Oryctolagus cuniculus: one gene and its partner. The protein of the gene in region 1 interacts with the protein of each later gene in a pairwise test. Links are inferred from orthologs where the notes say so. Each region holds a gene or a part of one and is shown in the gene's direction. Other genes may lie near its edges.

Evidence for each region.
Region 2: the proteins of CDC73 (region 1) and HSF2BP interact in binary tests that used the Homo sapiens proteins (3 or more experiments, as listed by UniProt). The link is inferred for Oryctolagus cuniculus from reciprocal best matches to the Homo sapiens genes CDC73 and HSF2BP.

Annotation. Positions count from the first base shown.
Region 1 is NC_091444.1:9,863,250-9,867,132, forward strand, and holds part of CDC73 (parafibromin), read left to right. Parts: intron 1-1,799; coding exon 1,800-2,016; intron 2,017-3,883.
Region 2 is NC_091435.1:2,458,444-2,463,069, forward strand, and holds the start of HSF2BP (heat shock factor 2-binding protein), read left to right. Parts: upstream 1-1,573; 5' UTR 1,574-1,668; intron 1,669-4,626. Other genes in the region: RRP1B (ribosomal RNA processing protein 1 homolog B), read right to left, coding at 1,359-1,488. UniProt on the Homo sapiens protein: Meiotic recombination factor component of recombination bridges involved in meiotic double-strand break repair.

The DNA of each region.
Region 1 (3,883 bases):
TTTATGATTGATTGTTCTTTTTCCTCTCTTTGGCTAATATTCTGCTTCTTTGCAGTTTTTATCTTTCATCGGATACCAGACATTGTGCAGTTTATTCTGTTGAGTGGTAGACATTTTTGTATTTTTCCAAATCTTATTTAGATTTGTTCTGGGCCCCAGTTAAATCCCTTGGAAACAGGTTTTTGGGTTTTGGTTGTAAGATCTGAACAATGGTCACTTAGCATAATTATTCCCTACTGCTTAAGTGGGGAATAATATGCTTTCTAATGCCCTGAGAATATGAGGCTTTTAATCTGGATGGTGGGAACAGGTACTGTTCTTCACTCTGTGTAAGCACTGGGCATTGTTCTCTTTAATTCCATTGGATGATTGATTCTTTACCCAGCTTTAAATGATTTCGTTATCTTCATGTACTAATTGGTATTCTACTGGAATACTCCAAGGAATCTGTGTAGCTCTCTTCTCATGTGTTTTGTCCTGTGAATTCTCGCCACCTTGGTCTTGCTGTCGCCCCAGCTGCATTCCCTCAAATCGGGAGTTCTCTGAGGTCTTTGTGGGCTCTCTTCTTAATGCCCTATCTCGGAAGCCACCAAGGGCTCACCTTGTTGGTTTCTCATTTGTCAGGAAATCACTGTTCTACACTGTTTGATAATCTAATATCCTTTAAACCTGGTGTCTTGTCATTTTCACTGGTAATTTAAGACAGGAAGGTTAATCCTGTCACTCTGTTTTAGTGTGGCTGGAAATAAAGTCCAGTGATACCAAGTCCAGTGCAGGCTTGATTATAGTTTAGAAGAGCATTTGAACTTGACTCTAGGTGCTTTAGATTTTAGGGGAATGTTGCACAGTGTCACACAAAATGAGTCAGATACCACCATACCCATATTGATCATCTGCTATAAAGTATCTTCATACCTAATCTGAATAAAATTAGTTTACTTTATAATACTGCTGTATTTAAACCTGCAGGAATTTCTGTCCTTTTTCCAGATTTTGTGTAAACATATTTCAAGATTTTCATCTTGTGGCTAAAGTAATATTTTTGTCTACTCTTAATAAGGTACTCAAACACTTTTTAATTCTTTTTATCTTATTATATAAAAAGACACTTTGCTTAAGATTCATCTTACAAAATCTGTACTTTAAGTATTAAGTCGCTTTTTATACATAGTTCTGAAAATATAGCCTGTCTCTCTTTGCTGTTTTGGCTATTTGAAAATCAGATGCAGGGAAGATAAAGTGTTCAAACTATGGTTTCTTCCAGAGTTTAAAAGGGGTATGTGTTTCTGTGGTATATAAAAGCCTTTGTCACCTATGTATATGTTGTACCCTGTGACATACGGTTTTGAAACCTTGAAATAAATTTCAAGAAAACCTATAATTTTGAAGTCTTTATATAATGAATTTCATACTCCTCTTCTGGGACCCTCTTAACAACTGGCCTCGATATGTATGTTTATTTTCTGTGAATAGATGTGGGTTAACTAACAAAGTCTCAAAAAATACAAAGAAAACACTCATGTTAATGAGTTACTGCTCTTTTGGAGGGAAATGATAAATATAAAGACATTTGTTGCATTGTTTCTTCTGGAATTTATTAATTTACTCACAGTAGTATATCTGCATGAACCTTCTTTATGTGTTAAAATCTTGTAAGAGTACAAAATATGTCATTTTTATAGAAAGAAGGCTTTAATTGTTGTTACTTAAAGTGTTTTTACTAGAAAATTGTAACAATGTATTTGTGATGTGCTCAAGGAATTCTTGCTTTGAAAATTTAAAAAGGAATTTGATTTTAGGTCTTTATCTGAAGCCATGTCAGTGGAAAAAATTGCTGCAATCAAAGCCAAAATTATGGCTAAGAAAAGATCTACTATCAAAACTGATCTAGATGATGACATCACTGCCCTCAAACAGAGGAGTTTTGTAGACGCCGAGGTAGATGTGACTCGAGATATTGTCAGCAGGGAGAGAGTGTGGAGGACACGAACAACGATTTTACAGAGCACGGGAAAGGTAATAGAGGTTACTCATTTCTTAGAGTGCCATGTCTGTGGTTAGTCTGTGATTGGTTATGGAATTGCTTAACATTTTTTATTAGAAGGAAGTTTGTAGTTTTCACTCTTCGAAAGAACAATAATAATACAGATTTCCAAGTGGTCATATTTGTCCTTGCATTCCTGAACGTGGCTGTCAGTCATTCAAGAAGTTGATAAAATCTGAATCAGAGCGCAAGCCTCTCCACATACCATTTGTAAATTAGAGTGACCCAGTTTTTTTTTGTTGTTGTTGTTGTTGTTGAAACCTCATGTCTTGGGCCGGCGCCGCAGCTCACTAGGCTAATTATCCTCCGTCTTGCGGCGCCGGCACACCGGGTTCTAGTCCCGGTCGGGGCGCCGGATTCTGTCCCAGTTGCCCCTCTTCCAGGCCAGCTCTCTGCTGTGGCCAGGGAGTGCAGTGGAGGATGGCCCAGGTGCTTGGCCTCTGCACCCCATGAGAGACCAGGAGAAGCACCTGGCTCCTGCCTTTGGATCAGTGCAGCGCGCTGGTCACAGCAAACCGGCTGCGAGGGTGAACCAACGGCAAAGGAAGACCTTTCTCTCTGTCTCTCTCTCTCTCACTGTCCACTCTGCCTGTCCAAAAAAAAAAAAAAGAAACCTCATAACCTCATGTCTGGAGGGTTTTATGGCAAGCTCTTTGGTCATCAGAGCTGATATCATGAATTTTTTCTACATAAAGTAGAGAATCAGTCAGCAGACATTTATTGAGTATATTTTATACTTTATTGTGGATGTAGGACTTTCTATTTTTTTGCTTCTTCACTATGGGAGCTATTTTGTTGTTTTTGCTCCAAGACTGTGGGGTTTTCCTCTCTCTCTTTGTCCGCTGCCTCTTTTCTTCCTTGGTTCCCTCCCACTTCCTCCCCTTTGATTTTTCCTTCCTCCTCCTTCCTTCCCTTTCACTATTACAAATAATGCTTTAAAAGACATTCTTACACATATATAACTTTGTTCAGTTATGTGACTAGTAAAGGATTAAAATGAATTTCTGGTTAAAGGAGATGTGCAGTTTAAGAAAATTTTTTTATTTGAAAGGCAGAGTTTTAGGGAGTGACACAGAGAGACTGATTGATTGATCTCCAATCCCTGGTTTATTACCCAAATGGCCACAGCAGCCAGGGCTGTGCCAGGCGAAAGTCAGGAGCTTCATCCGGGTCTCCCATGTAGGCCACAGGGGCACAAACTCTTTCCCAGGTGCATTGACAGGGAGCCAGCTTGAAGTGGAGCAGCTGGAATTCACACCAGTGCTCATATGGGATGTTGCTGTTTCAGGCGGAGGCTTACCCCACTGCTCCACAGCACTGGCCCTGAGATGTACACTTCAGACCTTGAAAGATAACATGAATTTCTGCAAAGGAAACATTGATTCTGTCTCATGTGTATATTTTCATCAGTCTTTCCTGTTCTACACCTCAGTTTTCTGTTAAACGTTCATTATCCTCTGATGTACGGTTGTTAAATGATCTAATTAAGAATATTTGAAGAATCATGGCAATTAGTGATGAGCTTCACTGTTCATCACTTCAGCATTCTTCTAGGCAGATTGATTTTGATTGTAGAATTTTGAGATTTTAGTCTGAAATTTACTCTGACATTGTAAGAATAAAGCTACTAGAGAAGAGTGTTTAAAAAATGATTTATTTTTGGAGGGAAGGGTAGCCCACATTGTAGCTTAGTAGGCTAAGCTGCAGCCTGGGATGGTGGCATGACGAGTGCTGGTTCAAGTCCCGGCTGTCCTGCATGTGATCCCAGCCCCCTGTTAATGTGTCTGGGAATGCAGTGGAAGAACACCCGAGTACTCAGAACTCCATACACACATGGGA
Region 2 (4,626 bases), on another chromosome or scaffold:
AGAAAAACAAAAAAACCAAGCAAACCCCACGTGTTCAGGTATCTCCAGCCGGTTCCCGGAAGCGCCGAGCTGGCGGCACGTGACAAGCCGACGCGCCGTGAGCTCTGGGCAGGGAGGCACAGGCGCCGGCGGCTGAGGGAGCCTGCACGGAGAGCCAGCGCTCTCTCGGCAGAGGGGACGCGGCGCCACGCCGGCCCCAGGGGACAGGAAGTGCACAGGAACAGCCCCAGCTGCTGCCTCCCACGCAGCGCCAGGAGGCGGTCACCTGGTCCCTCTGCCAGCCAAGGGCCGTGAACACGGCAACAGGTGGGCGTCCCCGTCCATCCTCCACTCTCCCGTCTCCTTTCCAAAACATGTTTTCAATGCAAGCATCAGCACCCCCCGCCCTCCGGCCTTTCGCCGGCCGAGCTCGGAGAGGGCCAGGGCAGGCACCCAGCCTTGCTGGCCTCCTGGGTCTCCGTGAGTGAACGGACAGCGGCACCGGGAGGTTCCAGCAGAGGAAGGCCGGCGAGGGAGCCCCCAGCCGGGAGCTACAGCCCCAGCCGTGCTTCTCCAAGCCCCGGTCCAGAGAGCCTGCGGCGGCGGCGCCAAAACTGCCCCGCCGAGCCAGGGACACAGGCGGGCGGCCACGAGGCTGACGTGGGGCCCCGTGGGGCAGACCCGCGGGAACCCCCAGCGGGCAGCACCCCCGCTCTGCGCTCACCTCGCCGAGTGACATCCCACGGCAGGCGGGACCACGCCGCCACCCCTGCCCGCCCTCGCCGCCTCCTCCTCCCGCCGCCCCGGGCACCCGCAGGTGTCGGTTGGCGCGGGGCGGGAACTCGGCCGCGGGCTCGGGGGTCGGGCAGAGCCGAGCCCGCCCGGCCTCCCCGCTCGCTGGGACCCCGGGGTCCCGCTTCCCCCCACTGAAAACGGCCTCGCGCACTCCGTGGTGTCAGTCGCCACACGACCACGTGGACAACAGCTTCCCAGGCCCTGTGCGCGCCGGGTGGGCGGCCCCGACCCGACTGGCCTCGCCCCGCCCCCGCCCCGGCCCGGCCCGGCCCCAGCCCCCAGCCCCCGGCCCGGCCCCGGCCCCCAGCCCCCAGCCCCCAGCTCCCGTCCCCGGCCCCGGCCCCCAGCCCCGGCCGGCCCCGACCGGGCCCGCCCCCTGGCCCCGGCCCCGTCCCCGGTCCCCGGCCCCGGCCCCCAGCCCCGACCGGCCCCCAGCTCCCGTCCCCGGCCCCCAGCCCCGGCCGGCCCCGACCGGCCCCGGCCCCGACCGGCCCCCGGCCCCAACCAGCCCCGCCCCGCCCCCTGGCCCCGGTCCCGACCCCCCGGCCCGGCCGCCATGTGGCTCGGGCCGCGCGGCCGCCCACCTGCCTCCCTCTGCGTCTTCACGCTGAGGTACTGGCGCAGCTTCTTCACCGCGCGCTCCCGGACGCCCTTCTCGTGGGACGCCAGCCGCTGAGCAAACTGCATCTCGGCCGGCTGCATGGCGGGGGCCATCGCGCCCACTGGGGCAGCCCCGGCCGCCGCGCGTGCGCAGAGCCGCCGGCGCGCGCCGATGACGTCACAAAGGCGGCGCCGGGCGGCGCGTTCTGGGCCGTCGCGCCGCGTGCCTGGCAGCGGGCGGGGCCGCGGGCCCGAGCGACGCGCGCCGGCGCCGTCGGGGCTGCTGACGGCGAGGTTAGCCGGGGAGGGTCTCGCCGGGCGCCGCGCGCTGGGCTGCGGCCGGGATCGGGACGCGCGGGCGGTCACTGCGGCGTGCTGGGCTCCGGCCGGGACCCCGCGCCTGGCGCTGCAGGTGCAGCGGTCCCCCGCGTGCTGGCCGCGGGTAATGCGCAGTGCACCTGCCGGCCCAGGCTGCCTTCGCGCCGGCGTGGTAATGGGTTTTGGGGGCAGGCCCTCCCATCCTCCTCCTCCCACGTCCGTTCTGGGACCTTGCTGGGTGGAGAAACTCCTAAAATTCCTCCCAGAACTTAAAATTTTTTAAAATACTTATTTATTTATTTGAAAGTCAGAGTTACACACACACACACACACACACACACACACACACACAGGTCTTCCATCCGCTGGTTCACTCCCCAGTTGGCCGCAATGGCCCGAGCTGCACCGATCCGAAGCCAGGAGCTTCCTCCAGGTCTCCCACGCGGGTGCAGGGGCCCAAGGACTTGGGCATCTTCTACTGCTTTCCCAGGCCATAGCAGAGAGCTGGATGGGAAGGGGAGCAGCGGGGACGACCCTGTGGCGCACTGGGTAAAGCTGCTGCCTGCAGTCCTGGAATCCCATACTGGCACCGGTTTGAGTCCCGGCTGCTCCACTTCCGATCCACTCTCTGCTATGACCTGGGAAAGCAGTGGACGATGCCCAAGTCCTTGGGCCCCTGCACCCACGTGGGAGACCCGGAAGAAGCTCCTGGCTCCTGATTGGCACAGCTCCAGCTGCTGTGGCCAATTTGGGAGTGAACCAGCGGATGGGAGATTCTCTTTCTCTCTCTTTCTCTCCTCTCTGTAACTCTTTCAAATAAATAAATAAATCTTTTAAAAAAAGACAAAAAAAAAAAAAAAAAAAAAGGAAGTGGAGCAGCCAAGACTGGAACCGGCGCCCACATGGGACGCCAGCCCTGCAGGCGGCGGCTTTTCCTGCTACGCCACAGCGCCAGCCCCGTCCCAGGACTTCTGAACGGAGCCTTCTTCTAAGCTGCCTCTGGAGAGGGTTGGCCAACCAGTTCCTGAACCATAACAAGTAACAAGACTGATACGTAAATGCTGGTTTGCTTCCAAGGCTTGCTTCCTCCTGGCCTCACACAGAAATTCCGAGTTTTCTTCAAGATTTTCCCGTTTTCTTTGGCTCTCGTACACACATTGCTAATGCCTACCCAGCTGCATAAAATGGTTCCCTAAGAGGAGTAACCCATAATCTTGGGGGTGGGGAGAACACGCCAAAGGCCCCCATGAACCTGGGAGCATCAATCTCTGGTAACACGTGCAGGGGCCTCGAAGGGCCAGCCCACAGTGCAGGTGCAGGGCTGCGGGGTCCCTGCGCAGGTGCAGGACTGTGGAGGAGGGAGAAGTCCCTGCGGGGTCCCTGCGCAGGTGCAGGGCTGTGGAGGAGGGAGAAGTCCCTGCGGGGTCCCTGCGCAGGTGCAGGACTGTGGAGGGAGGAGCAGGCCCTGCGGGGTCCCTGCGCAGGTGCAGGACTGTGGAGGAGGGAGAAGTCCCTGCGGGGTCCCTGCGCAGGTGCAGGGCTGTGGAGGGAGGAGCAGGCCCTGCGGGGTCCCTGCGCAGGTGCAGGGCTGTGGAGGGAGGAGCAGGCCCTGCGGGGTCCCTGCGCAGGTGCAGGGCTGTGGAGGGAGGAGCAGGCCCTGCGGGGTCCCTGCGCAGGTGCAGGGCTGTGGAGGGAGGAGCAGGCCCTGCGGGGTCCCTGCGCAGGTGCAGGACTGTGGAGGAGGGAGAAGTCCCTGCGGGGTCCCTGTGCAGGTGCAGGGCTGTGGAGGGAGGAGCAGGCCCTGGGGGGTCCCTGCGCAGGTGCAGGGCTGTGGAGGGAGGGAGGAGCAGGCCCTGCGGGGTCCCTGCGCAGGTGCAGGGCTGTGGAGGGAGGAGCAGGCCCTGCGGGGTCCCTGCGCAGGTGCAGGGCTGTGGAGGGAGGAGCAGGCCCTGCGGGGTCCCTGCGCAGGTGCAGGGCTGTGGAGGGAGGAGCAGGCCCTGTGGAGGGCCCTGTGCAGGTGCAGGGCTGTAGAGGAGAGAGGAGCAGGCCCTGGGGGGTCCCTGCGCAGGTGCAGGGCTGTAGAGGAGAGAGGAGCAGGCCCTGCGGGGTCCCTGTGCAGGTGCAGGGCTGTGGAGGGAGGAGCAGGCCCTGGGGGGGTCCCTGCGCAGGTGCAGGGCTGTGGAGGGAGGGAGGAGCAGGCCCTGCGGGGTCCCTGCGCAGGTGCAGGGCTGTGGAGGGAGGAGCAGGCCCTGCGGGGTCCCTGCGCAGGTGCAGGGCTGTGGAGGGAGGAGCAGGCCCTGCGGGGTCCCTGCGCAGGTGCAGGGCTGTGGAGGGAGGAGCAGGCCCTGCGGGGTCCCTGCGCAGGTGCAGGGCTGTGGAGGGAGGGAGGAGCAGGCCCTGTGAGGTCCCTGCGCAGGTGCAGGGCTGTGGAGGGAGGAGCAGGCCCTGCGGGGTCCCTGCGCAGGTGCAGGGCTGTGGAGGGAGGGAGGAGCAGGCCCTGCGGGGTCCCTGTGCAGGAGCAGGACTGTGGAGGAGGGAGGAGCAGGCCCTGCGGGGTCCCTGCGCAGGTGCAGGGCTGTGGAGGGAGGAGCAGGCCCTGCGGGGTCCCTGTGCAGGTGCAGGGCTGTGGAGGGAGGAGCAGGCCCTGCGGGGTCCCTGCGCAGGTGCAGGGCTGTGGAGGGAGGAGCAGGCCCTGCGGGGTCCCTGTGCAGGTGCAGGGCTGTGGAGGGAGGAGCAGGCCCTGGGGGGTCCCTGCGCAGGTGCAGGGCTGTGGAGGAGGGAGGAGCAGCCCCTGCGGGGTCCCTGTGCAGGTGCAGGGCTGTGGAGGGAGGAGCAGGCCCTGGGGGGTCCCTGCGCAGGTGCAGGGCTGTGGAGGGAGGAGCAGGCCCTGGGGGGTCCCTGCGCAGGTGCAGGGCTGTGGAGGGAGGAGCAGGC